Sus scrofa: one gene and its partners. The protein of the gene in region 1 purifies or fractionates together with the protein of each later gene. This does not show direct contact. Links are inferred from orthologs where the notes say so. Each region holds a gene or a part of one and is shown on either strand. Other genes may lie near its edges.

The links. Proteins that work in one complex are often made in the same cells at the same time.
Region 2: the proteins of TAF9 (region 1) and ATXN7L3 purify together in Homo sapiens (affinity purification with mass spectrometry; 6 studies listed by BioGRID and IntAct, counting the BioPlex papers as one, with this or other methods). This does not show direct contact. The link is inferred for Sus scrofa from reciprocal best matches to the Homo sapiens genes TAF9 and ATXN7L3.
Region 3: the proteins of TAF9 (region 1) and TADA3 purify together in Homo sapiens (affinity purification with mass spectrometry; 3 studies listed by BioGRID, with this or other methods). This does not show direct contact. The link is inferred for Sus scrofa from reciprocal best matches to the Homo sapiens genes TAF9 and TADA3.

The regions. Positions count from the first base shown.
Region 1 is NC_010458.4:47,496,673-47,500,823, forward strand, and holds the start of TAF9 (transcription initiation factor TFIID subunit 9), read right to left. Parts: upstream 2,816-4,151; 5' UTR 2,807-2,815; coding exon of another isoform or gene 2,779-2,806; intron 2,776-2,778; exon of another isoform or gene 2,428-2,775; intron 312-2,427; coding exon of another isoform or gene 219-311; intron 1-218. Other genes in the region: AK6 (adenylate kinase isoenzyme 6), read right to left, coding at 219-311, 2,816-2,966; cell cycle checkpoint protein RAD17, read left to right, coding at 3,249-3,264. UniProt on the Homo sapiens protein: The TFIID basal transcription factor complex plays a major role in the initiation of RNA polymerase II (Pol II)-dependent transcription.
Region 2 is NC_010454.4:19,015,313-19,017,985, forward strand, and holds part of ATXN7L3 (ataxin-7-like protein 3), read left to right. Parts: intron 1-164; coding exon 165-231; intron 232-391; coding exon 392-477; intron 478-787; coding exon 788-856; intron 857-1,101; coding exon 1,102-1,145; intron 1,146-1,403; coding exon 1,404-1,475; intron 1,476-1,570; coding exon 1,571-1,728; intron 1,729-1,839; coding exon 1,840-1,988; 3' UTR 1,989-2,673. UniProt on the Homo sapiens protein: Component of the transcription regulatory histone acetylation (HAT) complex SAGA, a multiprotein complex that activates transcription by remodeling chromatin and mediating histone acetylation and deubiquitination.
Region 3 is NC_010455.5:66,069,967-66,073,483, forward strand, and holds part of TADA3 (transcriptional adapter 3), read right to left. Parts: intron 2,785-3,517; coding exon 2,675-2,784; intron 920-2,674; coding exon 734-919; intron 1-733. UniProt on the Homo sapiens protein: Functions as a component of the PCAF complex. The PCAF complex is capable of efficiently acetylating histones in a nucleosomal context. The PCAF complex could be considered as the human version of the yeast SAGA complex.

The DNA.
Region 1 (4,151 bases):
CCATGAGAATGCAGGTTTGATCCCTGGCCCTGCTTAGTGGGTTAAGGATCCGACGTCGCCTCGAGTTGTGGTGTAGGTCGAAGACGTGGCTCAGAATCACATTGCTACAGCTCCAATTCCACCCCTAGCCTAGGAACCTCCATATGCCTACGGTACAGCCCTAAAAAGACCAAAAAAAAAAAAAAAAAAAGCAAATCTAACACTGAAGTGTCCCTTACCTTCTCGAGCTAAATCACCCACATTAATGTATTTCAATCCTGATCTTGATGCAAGTTCTTTGCCGAGTGTGGTTTTTCCAACCCCTGGTGTACCTGTAAGACAAACCACAGAAAAAAACTGTTTATAAAATATTTATTAGGTTTTAGCCAATGATCTGTCCTTAAGGTCCTTAATAACTGAAAAGTTTCCTAATTAGCAATCCTAATTACCATAACCTAATTCACACCATAACCTAATGAAAACCACCCAAAGCCTGCTGGACATGACAATCCTACTCGGTGTATCAGATTCTACCAGGAGTGAGGCTTGGGAGAATCTGATGACAATCAAAGGCTGTCTGCTACCACCATGGAAATCCCCAGATTGAAACTAGTTATCTCAAATAAATCACCATGAGTTATTTGCTTTAATTTTATTTTTATTTATTTTTGTCTTTCTGCCTTTTCTAGGGCCGCACTCGCGGCATATGGAGGTTCCCAGGCTAGGGGTCCAATCCGAGCGATAGCCGCCAGCCTACGCCACAGCCACAGCAACATGGGATCCGAGCCGCGTCTGCGACCTACACCACAACTCACGGCAATGCCAGATCCCCCACCCACTGAGCAAGGCCAGGGATGGTTCCTCATGGTTCCTAGTCGGATTCGTTAACCACTGAGCCACGACGGGAACTCCTATTTGCTTTAATTTTAAAAAATTAAATTGTTCATGGGAAAAAGTTCAGCAGTATGAAAGACAAATCTCATTTCCAATATGGACCCTCTGTACTCTTCCCTAGAGGCAACCAGTATAAACTGGTTTCTTTTATTTCTCTCTCTAAAGAATCATATGTATGTTTTTGTAAATATGTCCATATATATATATATATATGATAGCATACTACATATGTGTACATATCTTCACACTGTGTGTATATATACGTGCACACACCAAATACTCCCTTTTATGTAAGTGGCAATACTATATATTGTTTTTCAACTTCCCTTTTTTTCTTTCTGGCCATGACTATAGGCCAGGGATTGAACTTGCACCACAGCATCAAGTCAAGCCACAGCAGTGAATAAGCCAGATCCTTAACCCACTGTGCCACCACAGGAACTTCTATCTTATTTTTTATATCTACTGTATTTCAAAATATATAATCAAACTCATAACTTTCAGCTGCTCAGGTTTAATACCACTGAAATTATAAAATTTAATCATTTTAATTGAAGATAACAGGAATTGGAGTTCCCATCATGGCTCTGTAGTAAGAAACTCAACTCGCATCCATGAGGATTTGGTATGGTTCCCTGGTCTTGCTCGGTTAGTTTAAGATCCAGCATTGCCATGAGCTGTGATGTAGGTCACAGATGCAGCTTGAATCTGGTGTGGCTGTGGCCAGCAGCTGCAGCTCCAATATGACCCCTAGCCGGGGAACTTCCATATGCTGCAGGTATGGCCCTAAAAAGCAAAAAAAGGTAATAGGAATAGATCTTCATGTAAGGACAGTAACAATCCACTATAATATACTAAATTTGAACTCTGAATTCACCATGTTTTCAATAAAACACATTTAGATTTTTGACGATATGGTTTAATATTAAAAAAAACCCAAGACACTCACTATCTGACCCAAACAAATCAATGTTGTACAATCTTCCCCTTAAGAAATCGTCATGGCTAACCATTAATTTGTTGAGGTTAATCTGCAGCTTTCAGAAACAGAAGGATTTGTGTGCTGCCAATAAATAACCGCCTCAATTTTTATAATGCAACAGCATCTATCTACATCCATTAGATTTTTTTCATGAATGCCCTAGGATGCCATTAACTGCTACAATCTAATAAACATTTTCAGAGTTAAACAACCAAAAATAATATTCTTTATAAGATCGGTATGAAGCATTTTACTATCCCTCATATATAACAAACGCCCTCAGTATAGATCCGAAGACCCAGATGAACCCCCACAGTGAATCTTAGAACACCTCTACACGAGAAACGACCAGAGATACTCAGTAGATGCCTTTCCTTCTTAAAATAATGAAAAAAAAAAAGCCTCTGAAGCTAACTTCACAAGTGTATATAGCAAATTAATCACCCCACACCGCAAACACCCGAATCCTTTCATCGAAATCTGCCAGAAAGAAAGGAAAAGCGAGAAACGGGCCCCGGAGGCCTAAAGCATCCACCATTAAGAGATCTACCAAAGGCCAGACACTGTCTTACATTATATTGCTAAAAGCCTGAAGACAACTCTGCCAAGAGGCAACGGCCATTTTGCAAACAAAAAGGTGATTGAGAAAGCTTAGGCAGCTTGCCAAAAAAGGAAGCTAGATACATCTACCTCTCTCCGCCTCACCGAAGGGCCAACCTCTGGCCAAACAAAATTGACGTTCGCGGTCCCCTCCCCCCGCCTCCCGCAACCGTCGCGAGGGCCGGTCACGAGGCCCCAACAAGTGCCACGCTAGGCGACCCTTGTCGACCCCCGACACAGAACACTGAACGCCCCCCCCCCCCCACTTCGGGCGTCCCAGGCTGGCCCCACCGTCCAGCACCACCCCCACCGCGCGCCCTGACCGGTGAGCAGGATGTTCGGAAGCAACATGGTCCTCACCGCGCTGGCTCCGGACGCTTCTGCACACGCGCCTTACACGCGACAGGGAGGGGCCGGAAGGGGCGAGGAGCGGCAAATGCCTGTGGCGCGGAGGTACGCGAGACCTTGAGTGGCGCTCGCGACCCACATCTGCCGCCTTGCCACTGACCATTGGTTACCTAGGCTTCTATAACACGCTTCCATTGCAGGGTCCAAAGTACCAAAACAGGTCATGTCCGCGCTTCGGGTCAGGCAGTGCGCTGGATGCCTAAGACATTCGCTCTTTTAGCGGCCCCGCCCTTCGGGCCGTGTCGCCGAAGCGCCGATGCTCTGAAAAGTCCCCGGGAGGCGGGACCTCCAAGAGGCTCTGCGCTGAGCCCGGTTAGGGCTGAGTGGCTTTGCTTACACCTGGAGCCAACCGTGGGCTCCACCACTGTTCTGCGCCCACGAGGGGATGCTGCTACCAGAAGGTAACGCTTCCGTGGCTGTGGCTGCGGTGTATTTATGTCCTAGAGACCTTAAGTCCAGGTCTGCCTTCACGCCTTCTCAGACTCTTGTAGCCCCTCCTCCTGACCTGCCCATCCCATCTGTGGATTAGAGGGGTGAGCGTTCAGAGCTCTGGCCTGGAGCTGTGGCAGACCAGCTCATCTCCGCTTTGCCCTGACTAGTAGTATTACGTTGGATGATTGTATGAGCTTAGTATCCCCTGTGCAGTGTATAGAGTGGTGGTGGGTCTGCTAGAAATACTCTTCGAGGTCTTTTCTCCCTCTGATGTCTCATTTCGGGAACCTGGTATCGTCAAAGACAGTTGCCTGCTTTTTAAAGGAGGTAACTGTCAGTCTTTTTTTCAAAGGGTTAGAGTCTAGATGGTATCAAGTGTATGACTTTTATTTTGACCTGCCAACGGTATTTTCTGAAATAGTTGTTTTTTCCATCTTAAATACGTTTTTGACGCTGTAAAGCAAAAACCCCTCTAGACATGAACAGCTTATCTATATGTGTGTGTACGATTTGTTTTCTAGTGTTTAAAAGTATTTACACATTATAAATTACACGTGCTTCCAAACTATAAAAAAGCTCAGTTTACAGGTTTGTAGACGCTAAAAAAACTTTCTTTCTGGCTAACTTAAAATTGGTGAGTTCACTGGTTTGCCTAAACATTGAAGAATTATGACAGTTGGAAAACAGTGTTGCCCAAAAATGTTGTGATAACGTTTAAATAAGGACGGTTATAGAAAAAGTTTACAGTAGGAGATAAAAATCTTTGTTTAAAGTGAGTGATATGTCTGAATTAATTTTTGGTGTCTTTTTAAAAAAATCCTCTTTGAATTTTTGAAATTTATAATTTGAAATGAGG
Region 2 (2,673 bases), on another chromosome or scaffold:
GGCAGGAGGGCAGCAGAGGCCTTGGGGAAGGTGGAGGGGGGGCATGTGGGTAGACGGGCCTCTTACTGGTGGGGAAGAGTAGGAATTTGAGGATGTTTCTTTGTCAAATCTTTTTTCCTTCCCTGGGTTCTCGGCTCCCCCTTATCGTTACCCTTTCCCCAAAGCTATGGTATCTCCCATTCCAGAACCCCAATTCCCCTCGAAGATCCAAGTCTTTAAAACACAAAAATGGTGAGTGGGGCTGGAACAGCGGGAGTGATTCTAGCTGTGTCTTCTGGGACTCGTGGCCGGAGGGCGGAGGTGGGGACACGGGGTTGGGGGGTGGGCAGGGGTATCGAGGGAGGGCCTGTGATCCTTCTGTCACCCCCACTTCCTTTCTGGTTATTTTCAGGGTTCTCTGTCTGTACCTCTGCATCAAACACCCTTCCCCTTCTTTTTTCTTCTTCAGGGGAACTTAGCAATTCGGATCCTTTTAAGGTGAGTAGGGGCTGCCCCTGAGGTTTCCTCTCATTTTCCTTGCTGCGGGTTGGATGGGCTTTGCCCATGTGGGGATCAGAACACTGGCGGCCAGGAGCTCTGGACAGGGTGCTTAGCTCTTGTGTATTTGTGTTCTCTGTGGGCCCCAGCCCCTTACCCAATGCCCGCGGGGTGAAAGGCATCACGGGGAGACCGCCAGGCAGGCTTCAGGCCTCACTGGGGGCGGGGAGGGGTGCTGATTCCCCACTCCCACCTCTGCCCCCGCCCTTGGCTGCCCCATCTCTAACCTGTACCTCTGGTTCTCACCCAGTATAACAACTCAACTGGGATCAGCTACGAGACCCTGGGGCCGGAGGAGCTGCGTAGCCTGCTCACCACGGTGAGGGCCCGAGTCAGTCACAAACGGTGGTTGAGGCTCTGGGAGAGGCTGGTGGCAGCAGAGAGGGCTGGGCGGTTCTGTCTCTAGAACTAGGTTTCCTGGCCAGTGGCGGTCTGGGACCCTCTGCCGTGGACACCCTGGGGCCCCCTCTGCTCGTGCAGTCCGGCACTTGTACAGAAGAGAATGTCTAGTGTCTGGAGGAGGCTTCCCTCCGCTCCTCCTTTCAGCTTCTGTTCCTCTTGCAGCAATGCGGGGTGATTTCTGAACACACCAAGAAGATGTGCACAAGGTGAGCTCAGAACCTCTCAAGGGGCCAGGAGGCCCTTCTGCACACTCACCCTGGGCCCGGGCTGGGAGTGCCCCCCGACCCCGGAACTGAGCAGTGGGACTCTGCCCTCCCCTGTCCTCTGCCGGTCAGGCCTTAGGCCACCACCTGGGGGCTCTTGTTCATCCCCTCCCCGTGTCCTCAGCAGAGACGGGAGGGGCCTCTCTGGGGTCCTCTGACCCTTCCTGGCTCATCCGGGGCTGATCATTTGCTCCCTACCAGGTCCCTGCGCTGCCCCCAGCACACAGATGAGCAGCGGCGAGCCGTGCGGATTTATTTCCTTGGCCCCTCAGCGTAAGTGACCCTCGAGGAAGGGCGGTGGTTGTGGAAGAAGGCGAGGAGGATGGCTGGGATCCCTAAAGCCCTCCTCCGGCCTCTCCTCTTCCCAGTGCCCTTCCAGAGGTCGAGAGTTCCCTGGATAATGACAGCTTTGACATGACTGACAGCCAAGCCCTGATCAGCCGGCTTCAGTGGGACGGCTCCTCTGATCTCTCACCCTCCGATTCAGGCTCCTCCAAGACGAGCGAGAATCAGGGATGGGGTCTAGGTAGGTGATGCAGCCGGGCCCCGGGGCCTGTCTGCTCGGAGCGAGGGAGTGGGGGCACCTTGCGTTCCCCTGCCCCAGCCCTCTCCATCCCTCGTGCCTCTTTCTTTTCAGGTACCAACAGCTCTGAGTCACGGAAAACCAAGAAAAAGAAATCCCATCTGAGCCTGGTAGGGACTGCCTCCAGCCTGGGCTCCAACAAGAAGAAAAAGCCAAAGCCGCCGGCACCCCCGACGCCCAGCATCTATGATGACATCAACTGACTCGGGTGCAAGGGATAGCCTTTGGCTGAGCAGAGCCCGCTCTCCCGACCCCCACCCAGGTGGCACAGCCTGGCAAACGGACGGCTGCTGGGGGTTTGGGCTTGGGAAGCTTGGTAGGCCAGGCAGGTGGAGGATCCAATTCTGCACCCCTGGGGGGTGTCAGGGTCCTCTGCGGTGGAGCACGACCCCTCGGCATGTAGGACTCAGACCTGGACATGTTATGCCTTGGACATAAGTCTGGTGGGGAGGCGGTTTTCCTATTTATTCTGTGAGTTACTGGATGTCCAGCTAGGCCAGGGGCCTGACCTGGGCACTGTGCCAGGGCACTGCCGCCCCCCCACCCCAGGAACTGGACTAAGCCCTGCCGAGGAGCATCGTGGCTGCCCGGGAGGCTGTGGGTTGGAAGCCGAGCCTGGAGGGGGCCTCCCCCAGCTGCCCTCAGCAATGTGAATGGGTCCGGTGCTTGGAGCCGAGGGGCAGGGCTGGGCGTGTCCTGTCTGTGCAGAATCCTATCAAACGCCCCCATCCAGGGGTGGGCAGGCACAGCGCGCTGTCTGCTGAGGTGGGCGTCCAGAACTGCCGCCGCCTTCCCTGCCCCTCACAGGGGCAGCCCTTTCCCCTCAGTCCCCAGGGGCCTCCTTGGCAGCAGGAGCTGTCCTTTCGTTGTTGGGTGCCAGGAAAGGGC
Region 3 (3,517 bases), on another chromosome or scaffold:
AACCTGCAACCTCATGGTTCCTAGTCGATTTGTTTCTGCTGCACCATGACAAGAACTCTGACACTATCAGACGTTTTGTATGAAATTCTGCACAATAAAACTTTGAGGGGAAAAGAAAATAGCATGAAAAGAAATAAAACACACAACAATGTGAATAGTTAACACCATTGAACTGTACAATAAAAACAATTTAGGGGATAACTTTTGTATTTTTTTTTAACTACAATAATTAGAAGTAAATAAACAAGTTTGAAGTAAATAAACAAATTACAGGAGTTCCCATTGTGGCACAGTGGAAATGAATGAATCAACTAGGAACCATGAGGTTGTGGGTTTGATCCCTGGCCTTGCTCAGTGGGTTAAGGATTCAGTGTTGCCGTGGGCTGTGGTGTAGGTCACAGACGCTGCTTGCATCTGTCATTGCTATGGCTATGGTATAGGCCGATTAGACCCCTAGCCTGGGAACCTCCATATGCCTCAGGTGCAGCCCTAAAAAAAAACAAAAAACAAAAAACAAAATTACACGTTCCTGAGCTCTAGTCCATGAAATTAGAATCTGCTTGAGACATAACCAGTGGGGTGATGCCCAGTATTAACACCTTTTTTCAAAGGCTTCCGGGTGATTAGAGGCCCTGCCAAGTTTGGGAAGCCTGCTGTAAAGCTCCTGGAAGGTGACCAGCATGGCCAGGCCTTGTTCGCCACTCCCTGGCCCATGCATCCCGTACACACTCACCTTAGCAGGTCATGTTTTTTGGTGCGGTTGTGGGCACTGAGTGCCTTCAGCTCAGCCTGCCGTTTGCGCAGCTCTGCAAGAACCTCATCCTCTGAATCCTCCGCGGGGCGGTCCTCAGACTCCAGTAGGCCCTGGGCAATCAGCTCCTCCTTGATGCGGCTCTCCAGGGACTTTGTATGTGGCACACTGCAGGGAAGGCAGTGCTCAGCACAAGAGCCAGCTTGGAGGGGGAAGCCCTCAGAGACGCCCAAGGTTAGGACACCCTTCTTTCTCTTGGGCATCCCCTCTATATCTATCCAGACATAAAAATGTAGACACAGGGAGTTCCCGTTGTGGCGCAGTGGTTAACGAATCCGACTAGGAACCATGAGGTTGTGGGTTCGATTCCTGCCCTTGTTCAGTGGGTTAACGATCTGGCGTTGCTGTGAGCTGTGGTGTAGGTTGCAAACGCGGCTTGGATCCTGCGTTGCTGTGGCTCTGGCGTAGGCTGGCAGCTACAGTTCCGATTAGACCCCTAGCCTGGGAACCTCCATATGCCTCGGGAGCGGCCCAAGAAATGGCAAAAAGACAAAAAGACAAAAAAAAAAAAAAAAAAAAGTAGACACAGAGGAGTTCCCATTGTGGCTCAGCAGGTTAAGAACCTGACATAGTCTCCATGAGGATGTGGGTTTGATACCTGGCCTTGCTCAGTGGGTTAAGGATCCAGCCTTGCTGCAAGGGGTGGTGTAGGTCACAGAGGCAGCTCAGATCTGGCATTGCTGTGGCTGTGGTGTAGACCAATAGCCACAGATCTGATTCACCCCTAGCCCAGGAACTTCCATATGCTGCAAGTGCAGCTGTTAAAAAAAAAGAGAGAGACAGACAGACACACCTGGTCCTGTTTCAAACACGAGCAACAGGTATCGACGTTATGTAATATAAAATACAGAAATAACTATAATGCCAACAACCCAGAAAGAACTAGTGTTATTTTGTTATCTTGTTAGTATTACATATATTACTATTATATTACTATATGTTAATATGTTATATTTACAAAATATCTCCATTTATATAGTTATGTAAATATTATACATATTCCAAATTTTGTTACATAACTGTTCCCATGTTTATTACATATTACTTTAGGTCCCCCCCACAGGTACACACATTTAAATAATTTTTTTTTTTGTCTTTTGAGGGCTATACCTGTGGCATATGGAGGTTCCCAGGCTAGGGGTCCAATTGAAGCTATAGCTGCTGGCCAATGCCACAGCCACACAGGATCCAAGATGCGTCTGTGACTTACACCACAGCTCACAGCAACTCTGGGTCCTTAACCCACTGAGCAAGGCCAGGAATCGAACCCACGTCCTCATGGATACTAGTTGGGCTCATTAACCACTAAGTCACGCTGGGAACTCCTAAATCTATCTGAAGTAAAAATAGGATCATATTGGAGTTCCTCTGGTGGCGCAGTGGGCTAAGGATCTGGCACTGTCACTGCTGTGGCTCAGGTGGCAGGTGTGGTGAAGGTTTGCTCCCTGGCCCCAGGACTTCTGCATGCCCCATTTGCAGCCAAAAAAAAAAAAAGGAACTGCATTGCCTGTACCTTGCTAAAACTGACATTTTCCATTTATCATTCTATTGTTTATATCTTTTCATGTCAATTAACTGTATTTCTCTGATATGATTAGTAGCTACAAGCTACTTCATTGTGTAGAATTACTCCTCTTCAGTTGGACATTTAGGTTGTTTACAGTAAGAACAGTGCTATGATAAAAACTCTGTCCTAAGTCTGTGCTTGCAGAACTGCTGGGCCAGCATGCATGTCAGACTTTTATTGGGCTTTATCAAAATGTCCTCAGCCTCTCTATTAATGAAGACCACATCATGCTGAGATGGATGGAAGTCAACAGAAGCAGAGACGAGACTGTGGTGTATGGACAGGACGTCACTCACCTGAAGGGCTTGTTCTGATTTCGGGGAGAGGTGCTTGCCCCATCAGCCCCCGATTCTTTCCCAGACATGTCAGGAATAGGAGAGTCCTCCATAGGGGAAATAATATTTTCCTAGAAGAGCATAGAAATGGATGGAGAAAGAGCCGTAGTATTATCACCTTCCTGCTCCCCTCCAATCTACATGGACAGTCTTCACAGACCAGAAATAGCCTTTTCTCTTTCCTATCCAATCCTCTCTGAAAAGCCTTCCCAAACAGACTCCAAAAAGCTTTGATCATTTTAAAAACACTTGTTTTTTGTATTGAATCTGAAAGAAGGGAGCATAAAAGATGATGATAACAGCAATAGCAATGAGAAGAGCTAAGGTTTGTTAGGCATTTGCAATGCATGAGGTGCTCTGCTAGGCATGCATCAGGTGTCCAAAAGCCATCCTCGCCCTTCTACAGTAGCTGGCCTTACGGCTGCCCAGATAACCACACTTCCCAGCCTCCCTTGCTATCAAGGGTAGCCATGCGATTCTCCATAGTGATCAGAAGAGATAAGAGCCTCAACCGGCCATGACCTTCACACACTCCTCCTTGGTCTTTTCCTGAAGGCCTGAAGTGGCAGTTGGACTTGGAGTGACCTTGTGCAGAGTGCATGTTTAAGATGGCAAAGCCACCATAACTGGAATCCCTGTCTGATGATGTGGCACAGAGATCTCCCTCCTCCTCAACCAACATGAAACATGTGCCCAGCATCTTATGTGGGAGAGGGAGACACTACTGTGTTTGAGCCAGAGAGGAAACTGAGGCTCAGTGAGGTGAGGAAATGTGCCTAAGGGCAGCTAGTGGGCATAAAGAAA